Linked DNA regions of Oryzias latipes. The protein of the gene in region 2 binds, or shares a complex with, the protein of the main gene of each other region. Links are inferred from orthologs where the notes say so. Each region holds a gene or a part of one and is shown on either strand. Other genes may lie near its edges.

Region 1 (4,282 bases), on a different chromosome or scaffold from region 2:
GCTGTAATAGCTTCAAAAGGTGGACCCACATCATATTGAACTATGGGTTAGGATAGGGATGCCATTTCCGTTCATGTGCGAGTCAAAGTGGGTGAGCCAATACTTTCTCGATATAGTGTGAGTTTAAGAATGTGCTATAGGGTGCACCTTATGATCTGGTGCCCCCGTTTAGTGCGGGAAATATAGTACATTTTTGCTTCTTCTTCCAAGCTGGCATCTGGCTCAAAACTGCACCGCAAATGTTAGGTTGGGGTTGTGAGGGGCTGTAAGCTAGTGGGAGAGAGTGTAAACAAGAAGGATGACGGGGAGTGTGGTAGAGCTTACTCCATGCCAATGGCCCCACCCACAACTCAGAGGTCAATTTCTGATGAGCTTCTGCAGAAACTCTGTCTTGGTAAACGGCCCAGATTTTAGAGATTTTACTGGAAAAAAATCATAATCATAGTTTAAAGACCACTGCTTTAACATAGATCATAGGATGATTGGAGTGGGACTTTAAGCTGATGTCGGATGTAGAGAAAAAGACAAACACCGTTCGTCATTGCTTGCAAATAAATCTCTTTTCATTTAAAGAATATTATTATTTACAACACAGTAAAAATCCTCACAATTCTGTCGCCAAAACACTGCAGTTTCAGAGTCTTTTATTGGGAACAAAAGAACCAATGAGAACTCTTTGCTGCCTGCTGATTATTTATGGCAAATCCCCCCCCCCCTTTTGTGTTTTGACTTCTCCTTTTTCTTTTCTTTTTTTCTGGAATCTCACTGCTGCTCGTCCTTGTTGATGATGTTCTTGAAGAGCGTCACCAGTGGTTTCTGGCGATCCTCCTCCCAGCTCTTCATGAAGCCGCCATAGCGTTTACTGGCGGGAGGGCCGCTCCAGCGGAAATGCTTCATCTTGTAGGAGCCATCCTTCTTCTCCTGCAGGCCAGCCAGGAGATGCTGACGCTCCTCCTCCTCCTCCACCTCCTCCATAGCCCTCTCCTCCTCCTCCGCTGCAGCCGCCAGCAGCTCATTGGCCAACTCCCGCCTCCTCATCTCACCTGGGAAAACCTCAGAGGACTCCTCCTCCACTCCGTTTGGGGTGTAGACCTTGACGGGGCGACGTTTGCGCCCGACGGGCTTGCCCCATCGGAAGTGCTCCATGGAGTAGGAGCGTTTGGTTTGAGGGGATGGAGAGATGAAAGAGAAGGGATCTGAGGGAGGTGGAGGCTGGAGGTGGGAGCTGCCTGGGATGAGGGGGGTCTCGGCGGTGAGGTCAGAGCGGCAGAGCTGGAGGCACTCCTGGAGTAAAAAGATGAGATTGACAGTCAACTGAAGGTGTTAAAACAGCAGATGTGTTTTTGTAATGGGAGATGTGGATGTTGAGTTTAAAGTGCTTATCACATTTTCCTAAAGAAAAACCTATTTTTGGGTCAAAATTTGCACTTTATTTTACAGATTCTCAAACCCCTTAAATCTGAATTATTGGTAAATGTAGGAAGAATTAACCAACAGAGAAGTCGAGTCAAAAAATTCTGTTTTGACTCCATTTGAAGCAACAAAACAGCTGAACTGTGGATGAAAATGATCAGGAAATGCAGATTCTGCTTATTGTTGCTTTGACCGTCTTCTGTACCGTCATGCTGCTCTCAGAGTCCAGCTCCTGGCAGCTGGAGTGCTTCCAGCATTGGCCGACTGCTCCTTCAGCCCCACCGACAACCACCACGGCCACCAGCAACCAAACGGTATACATCCTCTGTGAAGCAAAAAAAAAACACAATCCCACTCAGTTTTGGAGTTTTAAAATCAATTTTTATGTAGATTAGTTATCTTTTGGGGTTAATTTTTTTTTCAATTATACTCTTCTTTTATTGTTTACATTTCATTTTTTAAGTAAAAACCACAGGTTTTGGAAGTAATTTGACAAGAAAAAAAACACATCTTTGTTTTTAATATATGTTAAAAAAACAGTGGTGGCCACAAATCTGACTGAATAAAAACAAAATCAAAACATTGATATATTATTTTAGCACCTTGTTTTGGCACCGGTTATATCATTTTTTTAACCTTTTTTTTATTTATTCAATCACAAAGGTTACACGTTGTCACAAAAATTAAGAAAAGTATATCTAAAATCAAATATTTAAACTTTTTAAAAGACCTAAAACAAGCATGTTAAGAAATTTACATTTCACCATTTTACCTTAATAATATTATTAGATGATGCAAAATTATTGTATTAATATATGTATTTTGGAGATCAGATTGGAGAATTAACAAATAAAAATAAAATATTTATTTAAGTTTCATATATTAAGCACTTTGTTTTCTTAACCTCGAATATTTAACACTGGTCTTAATTTTTTTTTTAAAATCTGCTCTGATTTAGAAACTGTTAGTTAAAAATTATTAGTAATTTAGTAATTAAGTGAAGTAAAAAGGCTGTAAAACTTTAAAAATACAACTTTTTTTTACATTTTCATTATAAAGTACAATAAAATATTCTCACCCCTCCTTATAGTTTCTTTGTCTCTCCTCTTCCTCTTATTGCTGCTGCTTTCTGTTTTGTTTAGCCGCCGGATGAAGATTTCCCTTGATCCTCTTCTGCTCTGATGCTTCGAGCAGAGTTGGACTTTTATATTCTGCTGACCAAGGACGCACACACATGCGTGAACACACACACGCATACACAGATGACGTGTGCATGGGTTTGCGGTCAAAAACGCACACAAAAAATCAATAAAAAATGTCCCAGATCCACCCTCGTCCATTCACTGCACACACACGGATACAAGCACACACACATGAAGACCTGCCTTCATTTTTTTTTTCTATTTTGTTTTCTCGATTTTTAGACAAAACAAATGTTTTCAGAATTTATGTTTGTCTTTAACATCACAGATTTTTTGGTCACTTTTAATTGTAAAAAGCACAAATGGAACAGAAAACAAACACATCTAAGCTACAGCAGCTAAAACTCATCAGTTTAAATCTGCGTGAAAGCGCCTCGCCGCTGCTGTTGTCTGTGAAATGTCAGGCAGCAGCTTCTGCAGCTTAACACCCAGGTGGGATTTCGTCAAAGTCGCGGGTCAGGGTGTACAGTCACACACCCACAAAGCTGCGCTGAGCGGCATCTCTTTGTCCAGGGTCCGGGTGGCCCTAATGCTGAATCAGTGGAGAGTTCATCTGATTTCATGGAGCAGCTGATGAAGAGCAGCCACATTTTCCATCCAGGACACGCTTCCCACAGCTCCTTATAATCAGTGAAAAACATGTAGATGCATGGCTGCTCCCCTTCTGTTAATAAAACAGATCATCTCCAAACAGCTTGATGTTCCTGTTACTTAAGCTTATTAAATATACTGTGAGTTTAAGGTCAGCAGCACTGTAGCCAACGTCCATGGACATGGCTGCAGAAGGATATTTTTATTTAATCTTCATTCAACTGAGAAAGTCACATTTAGATAAATTTTGTAAAGTGGTCCTGAATGTTTGAAAAAATATTGAAAAGATGGATCAATCTCTGGGCACTCCAGACTCCAAACACATGCTTTATAGATTGATTGGTTACTCTAAAGTGTCCCTAGGTCTCTAGGTGTGTGAGTGTGAGTGCGACAGACAGGCACCCTGTCCAAGGTGTACCCCGCCTTCATCCAACAGTACCTGAGACAGTTTCCAGCAACGCTGTGACCCCAAAAGGAATGAGGCAGGTTGAGGAAATGGTTGGATGGATGGATGATCATCTTTGGATCTATTATAAAAGCGTTCCCTGTGGTCTTTCAATTAAAATGATGGTGTTTTTAGGCAAAATCTAAAAATCTGTCATTTTTAAGACATCGATTATGCAGAGCAGCAAGAGTTTATTAGAAATTCACTCCTCCCCGCCCGCCCCTTTTAGATTTGTTGATTTTATTGTCAGAAGATTCCTAATCCCAGGACAGGACAAATAAAAAAAAAGAAAGAAATAAAAAAAAGAAAGCAGGTGGAGAACCATCTAGAGAGGTCAGCTGCAGCATCTGTGTGTAAATGACAGGAACTCAAGAGGTGGAGAAGGTGGAGGGCTTTAAAGACTTAGGAACAACAGTTAGAGCAACTTCCGTTGAGGAAAGGCTAAAGAGGCGTGTGCAAGCAGGGTGGAACTATTGAAGGGGAAGGTTTCAGATATGATGTGTGAGAAAACAGGGTCAGCAAGCGTGAAAGGAAATGCTGGGGTGAAAGCAGCCATGCTCTCACCTCAGGGGTTGCAGGGGTGCCCCAATCCAGGACTCAAGGGCCGGTGTCCTACATGTTTTCCAATCAA
Region 2 (3,822 bases):
TGCAGACCTGTGCTTTTCAGAAACAGAGTATTTTAAACATAAAGACACACAAAGCTGTGGTCTCGGTTCCACAGTGCGGGTGGGCTCGTGCTTACGGCTTTTGGCTGTAGCAGCCATGAACATGACCGGCAGACCGATGGCGGAGGACAGAATCCAGTTGCAGATGTTGACAATCTTGGCATTGCGAGGCGTCCTGAAGTCCAGCGCTTTCACAGGGTGGCAAACAGCGATGTAGCGGTCGATGCTCATGGTTGTGAGGGTGAAGATGGAGGTGAACATGTTGTAGTAGTCGATGGACATCACCATCTTGCAGAGCAGGTCCCCAAATGGCCAAGACCCCATCAGGTAGTTGACGCTCTGGAACGGCAGGGTGCTGGTGACCAAGGCATCTGCCAGAGCGAGGTTGAAGATGTAGATGTTTGTGGCTGTCTTCATTTTGGTGTACCTGTAGCAGAGAGCAGCATAGAATTTTTATAGACAGCAGAGCTTAAAAAGGCTGTTTTGGGCTCAGTTATACATTTAATCACCTTTTTCATTTAAGTTTCTTCAAAAAAGTATATAAAAACAGAATGTATATCGACCAATCACCGTGTCCCTGTAACTGAGTTGTAACAACAAGACCAATGATTGGCTGGTCGAAATGCATCTTGGGTATGCGTGATCCATGAAGGAATTTATCGCTTTTGCGGCCGAACGGAGAGCATATCGGTGTTTATGAATGACTTATGATGTGAATAATTATTGTATTTGCACGGATTAATTATTTCGAGGGAACGGAATATTATCTTGTGGAACGGAATATTATTTCGTGCAAACAAGATATTAATCTGTGGGAACGAGATATATTTTAATTTTTTAATGTCAGGACACGGGCTCCATTATACTTATATTTATATATATATATATATATATATATATATATATATATATATATATATATATATATAAATATATAAAATGCTTTTTGCACATTATAGACCTAAATGACAAAGAAAACAAGCAGTTTAAAAAAAAAAAAAAAAAAACTTGTGATCTTTTGGGGCTCAGTAGAGGTTGGAACGCTAGATTTAGTCCGTTTGTGGTTCAGCGAGGGAACACATATCCCATTTGTTGAACATACTGAGCAAATTCTGTTAAACTTTTCAGTTTCACCATTTCTGTATCTAAATTCAGATGTTACCGTCACCTGATCAACACCTCAGAAAAAACACACACACCATAACATGTTTCACCTTTGTATTTTCTGATAAACACCAGTGTTATGATGCTTTCCTGTGATTGTGGTAAAAGGCTTTTTTATACCACAATCACAGTTACGGTAACGCTTTATGATAAGAGTCCTTAATAAACTATTAACAAGCACTAGTAATGTTTTAGTAAGCTGCTTATAAGAACATTAATTAGCATTTGTAAATGTCTTACAACTGACTTACAAGTTTAAATAAGCTGTTTATAAATACATTAAAATATTCCTTAATAAACTACTTATAAGACATTAAGCAGTATGAGTAATGTGGTATTAGGCTGCTTATAAAGACATTTATTAGCATTTGTTAATCTTATTCACAAGCTATTTATAAATTGCTTGTATGGGATTAATAAATATATTAACAGTGTTCTTATTAACAGTTTATTGAGTGTTTTGCAGCCCCCCCCAATCTAAAGCGTAACCAAATATGGGGGGGGGGGTCTTTACAAGCCATTTATAAATTGCTATAAATAAATGTACCCAGCTAAAATGTTTATTCAAAATAGATTTAGATTAAACATTGACCAGTTAAATCAGGCAATATAAAATATCTAGGTATTTATTTTTCCCCCAAAATATCAGAACTGGTACTGCTAAACTACACCCCATTACTGAAAAACAAACAGGACGATCTAACACGCTGGACCAACCTGCCTTTGTCCCTTATGGGCAAGGTAGCCACGGTTAAAATGAAAATCTTACCCAAAGTTAATTATCTCTTCTCAATGATTCCCACACAACCGCCACTAAAATGGTTCAAAACATTAGACTCATCCATATCAAGCTTTCTATGGAACAATAAACCTGCAAGAATTAGTTTAAAAACTTTAAAATCTGCAAAAAGCTGTGGAGGATTAGAATTACCTAACTTCCACAATTACTTTCTTGCAAATAGATTACAATACATCTTAAAATGGTTAAAAAATAATCCAGAAACCAACTCATGGTTAGACTTGGAACAGGCGTTATGTGGAAAGATCAACCTGTCAGATCTTCCATTTATTAGTCAAATAGTTAAAAAACAGGATTGTTTCAAAAGTATTAATATAAATGCCACTTTAACAGCCTGGTGGGAATTTCTCAAAATATCAAAATCATCAATTCAACCGTGCAAAATGACACCCATCTGGAACAACCCAGACATCCTCATAAACAAAAAAATTATCCACTTCCCAGCTTGGCAAGCAGGGGGCATAAAACAACTAGAGCACATAATTATTGATAGAAGATTCATAACTCCCCAGGAACTTCAAGACAAACATGGAATATATAACTTCTTGGAATATCAGCAACTTAAATCAATTATTACTAAAAAGTTTAAATACAGAGACAACGATTTAAAGCTACCAGATGTAGTTACCACTCTGATCAATTTCTCAATGAATAAAACTCTCTCCAAAATATACAAACTTTTATGTAATTTAGATAACAATATTTCACTTCCGACAACAAAATGGGATGCGGATTTGAGCATCAGCACAGATGAAAGTTTTTGGTCAGAACTTTGTCTAAACACCTTTAAAATGACAAAAAATCCAAATCTGCAGCTAATCCATTTCAAAACTCTTCACAGAATTTACTACACTGGACAGAGGATGTTCAAGATGTGTCTCAGTAACTCAGACATTTGTCAGCACTGTGACAGTAATCTACCCGACAATTACATGCATGCACTATGGTTCTGCACGCCTGTCCAGGCTCTCTGGCAGCAGGTATGTGCCGATCTATCAGTCTGGCTTAAGGTTTCAATCACAGCTTCACCGTCACTTTGTGTGCTTGGTGACATGAGTGCCATCGATGTAGAAGGAGGATTAGGCTCTATCATTTTCATAACTCTTTGCATTGCTAAAAAAACTATTTTAATAAATTGGAAAAGCAAAAAAAATATAAATATAAGTCAACACAGAAATCTGCTGCTTGATCATATCAGCTTGGAAAAAATGTCAGCCCAAAGTTCAAGTAACTTGGAAAGAATTCGGTCTCTCTGGTCTCCCATAGCTAACTCCGTGACTTAGGGGGTGGGGGGGGCATGGTCGTCGCTGCTCCTTGCCCTTCTGCCGTGGGCCGGGGTGGGGGTCGGGGCCTCCGGTGCCTGGCCGGGGGTGGTGGGGGCTCCGTTGGTCGGGGGGTCGGGTCCGGCGCCTGGGTGGGGCGGCCTGGGGCGCTGCGTGGTCCTCTGGGCTTGGGTGTGGGGGTGCGTGGTGGGGGGGTGGGGTGGTGGTCTGGCTTGGCTTGGGGGGGTGGTCCCTTTGCCTGTGCTGGGGGGGGTTGGCGGGGGGCGCTGCTCGGGGGGGGGGCCCAGCGGCGCTGGATGGGCTTCCCGTCTACACCTGGGGCTGGGATCGGCCCTTCCCTGGCTCTGGGGCGGGACGGGACAACCCTCTTGGGGCCCCCGGTAGCTCTGGGTGTCATCCGCTTCGGCTGCGGGGTCTGGGGGTGAGGTGGGGTGGGGGTCTTGTCGGCCCTGTCCTGTGGGGGGGCATTCTGGGGGAGGGGGGGGGGCACTATTGGTACGGGGCAGGGTGGGTTGACGGTTCGGGGTCTCCGCTGAGGCCATCGGCGGTTTCCCCGGC

What was found.
Region 1: the proteins of delta-type opioid receptor (region 2) and pomc are in contact, whole or in part, in a cryo-EM structure (PDB 8F7Q), measured with the Homo sapiens proteins. The link is inferred for Oryzias latipes from reciprocal best matches to the Homo sapiens genes OPRM1 and POMC. Residues at the interface, in NP_000905.3 of Homo sapiens: Ser66, Met67, Ala70, Ile71, Met74, Gln126, Asn129, Tyr130, Leu131, Met132, Gly133, Trp135, Val145, Ile146, Asp149, Tyr150, Met153, Arg213, Ile217, Asp218, Cys219, Thr220, Glu231, Lys235, Val238, Ile298, Val302, Lys305, Trp320, Ile324; in NP_000930.1 of Homo sapiens: Tyr237, Gly238, Gly239, Phe240, Met241, Thr242, Ser243, Glu244, Lys245, Thr248, Pro249, Leu250, Val251, Leu253.

Annotation. Positions count from the first base shown.
Region 1 is NC_019860.2:10,968,090-10,972,371, reverse strand, and holds pomc (pro-opiomelanocortin), read right to left. Parts: upstream 2,613-4,282; 5' UTR 2,492-2,612; intron 1,739-2,491; 5' UTR 1,736-1,738; coding exon 1,619-1,735; intron 1,285-1,618; coding exon 763-1,284; 3' UTR 628-762; downstream 1-627.
Region 2 is NC_019873.2:17,195,243-17,199,064, reverse strand, and holds part of delta-type opioid receptor, read right to left. Parts: intron 446-3,822; coding exon 96-445; intron 1-95. UniProt on the Homo sapiens protein: Receptor for endogenous opioids such as beta-endorphin and endomorphin. Receptor for natural and synthetic opioids including morphine, heroin, DAMGO, fentanyl, etorphine, buprenorphin and methadone.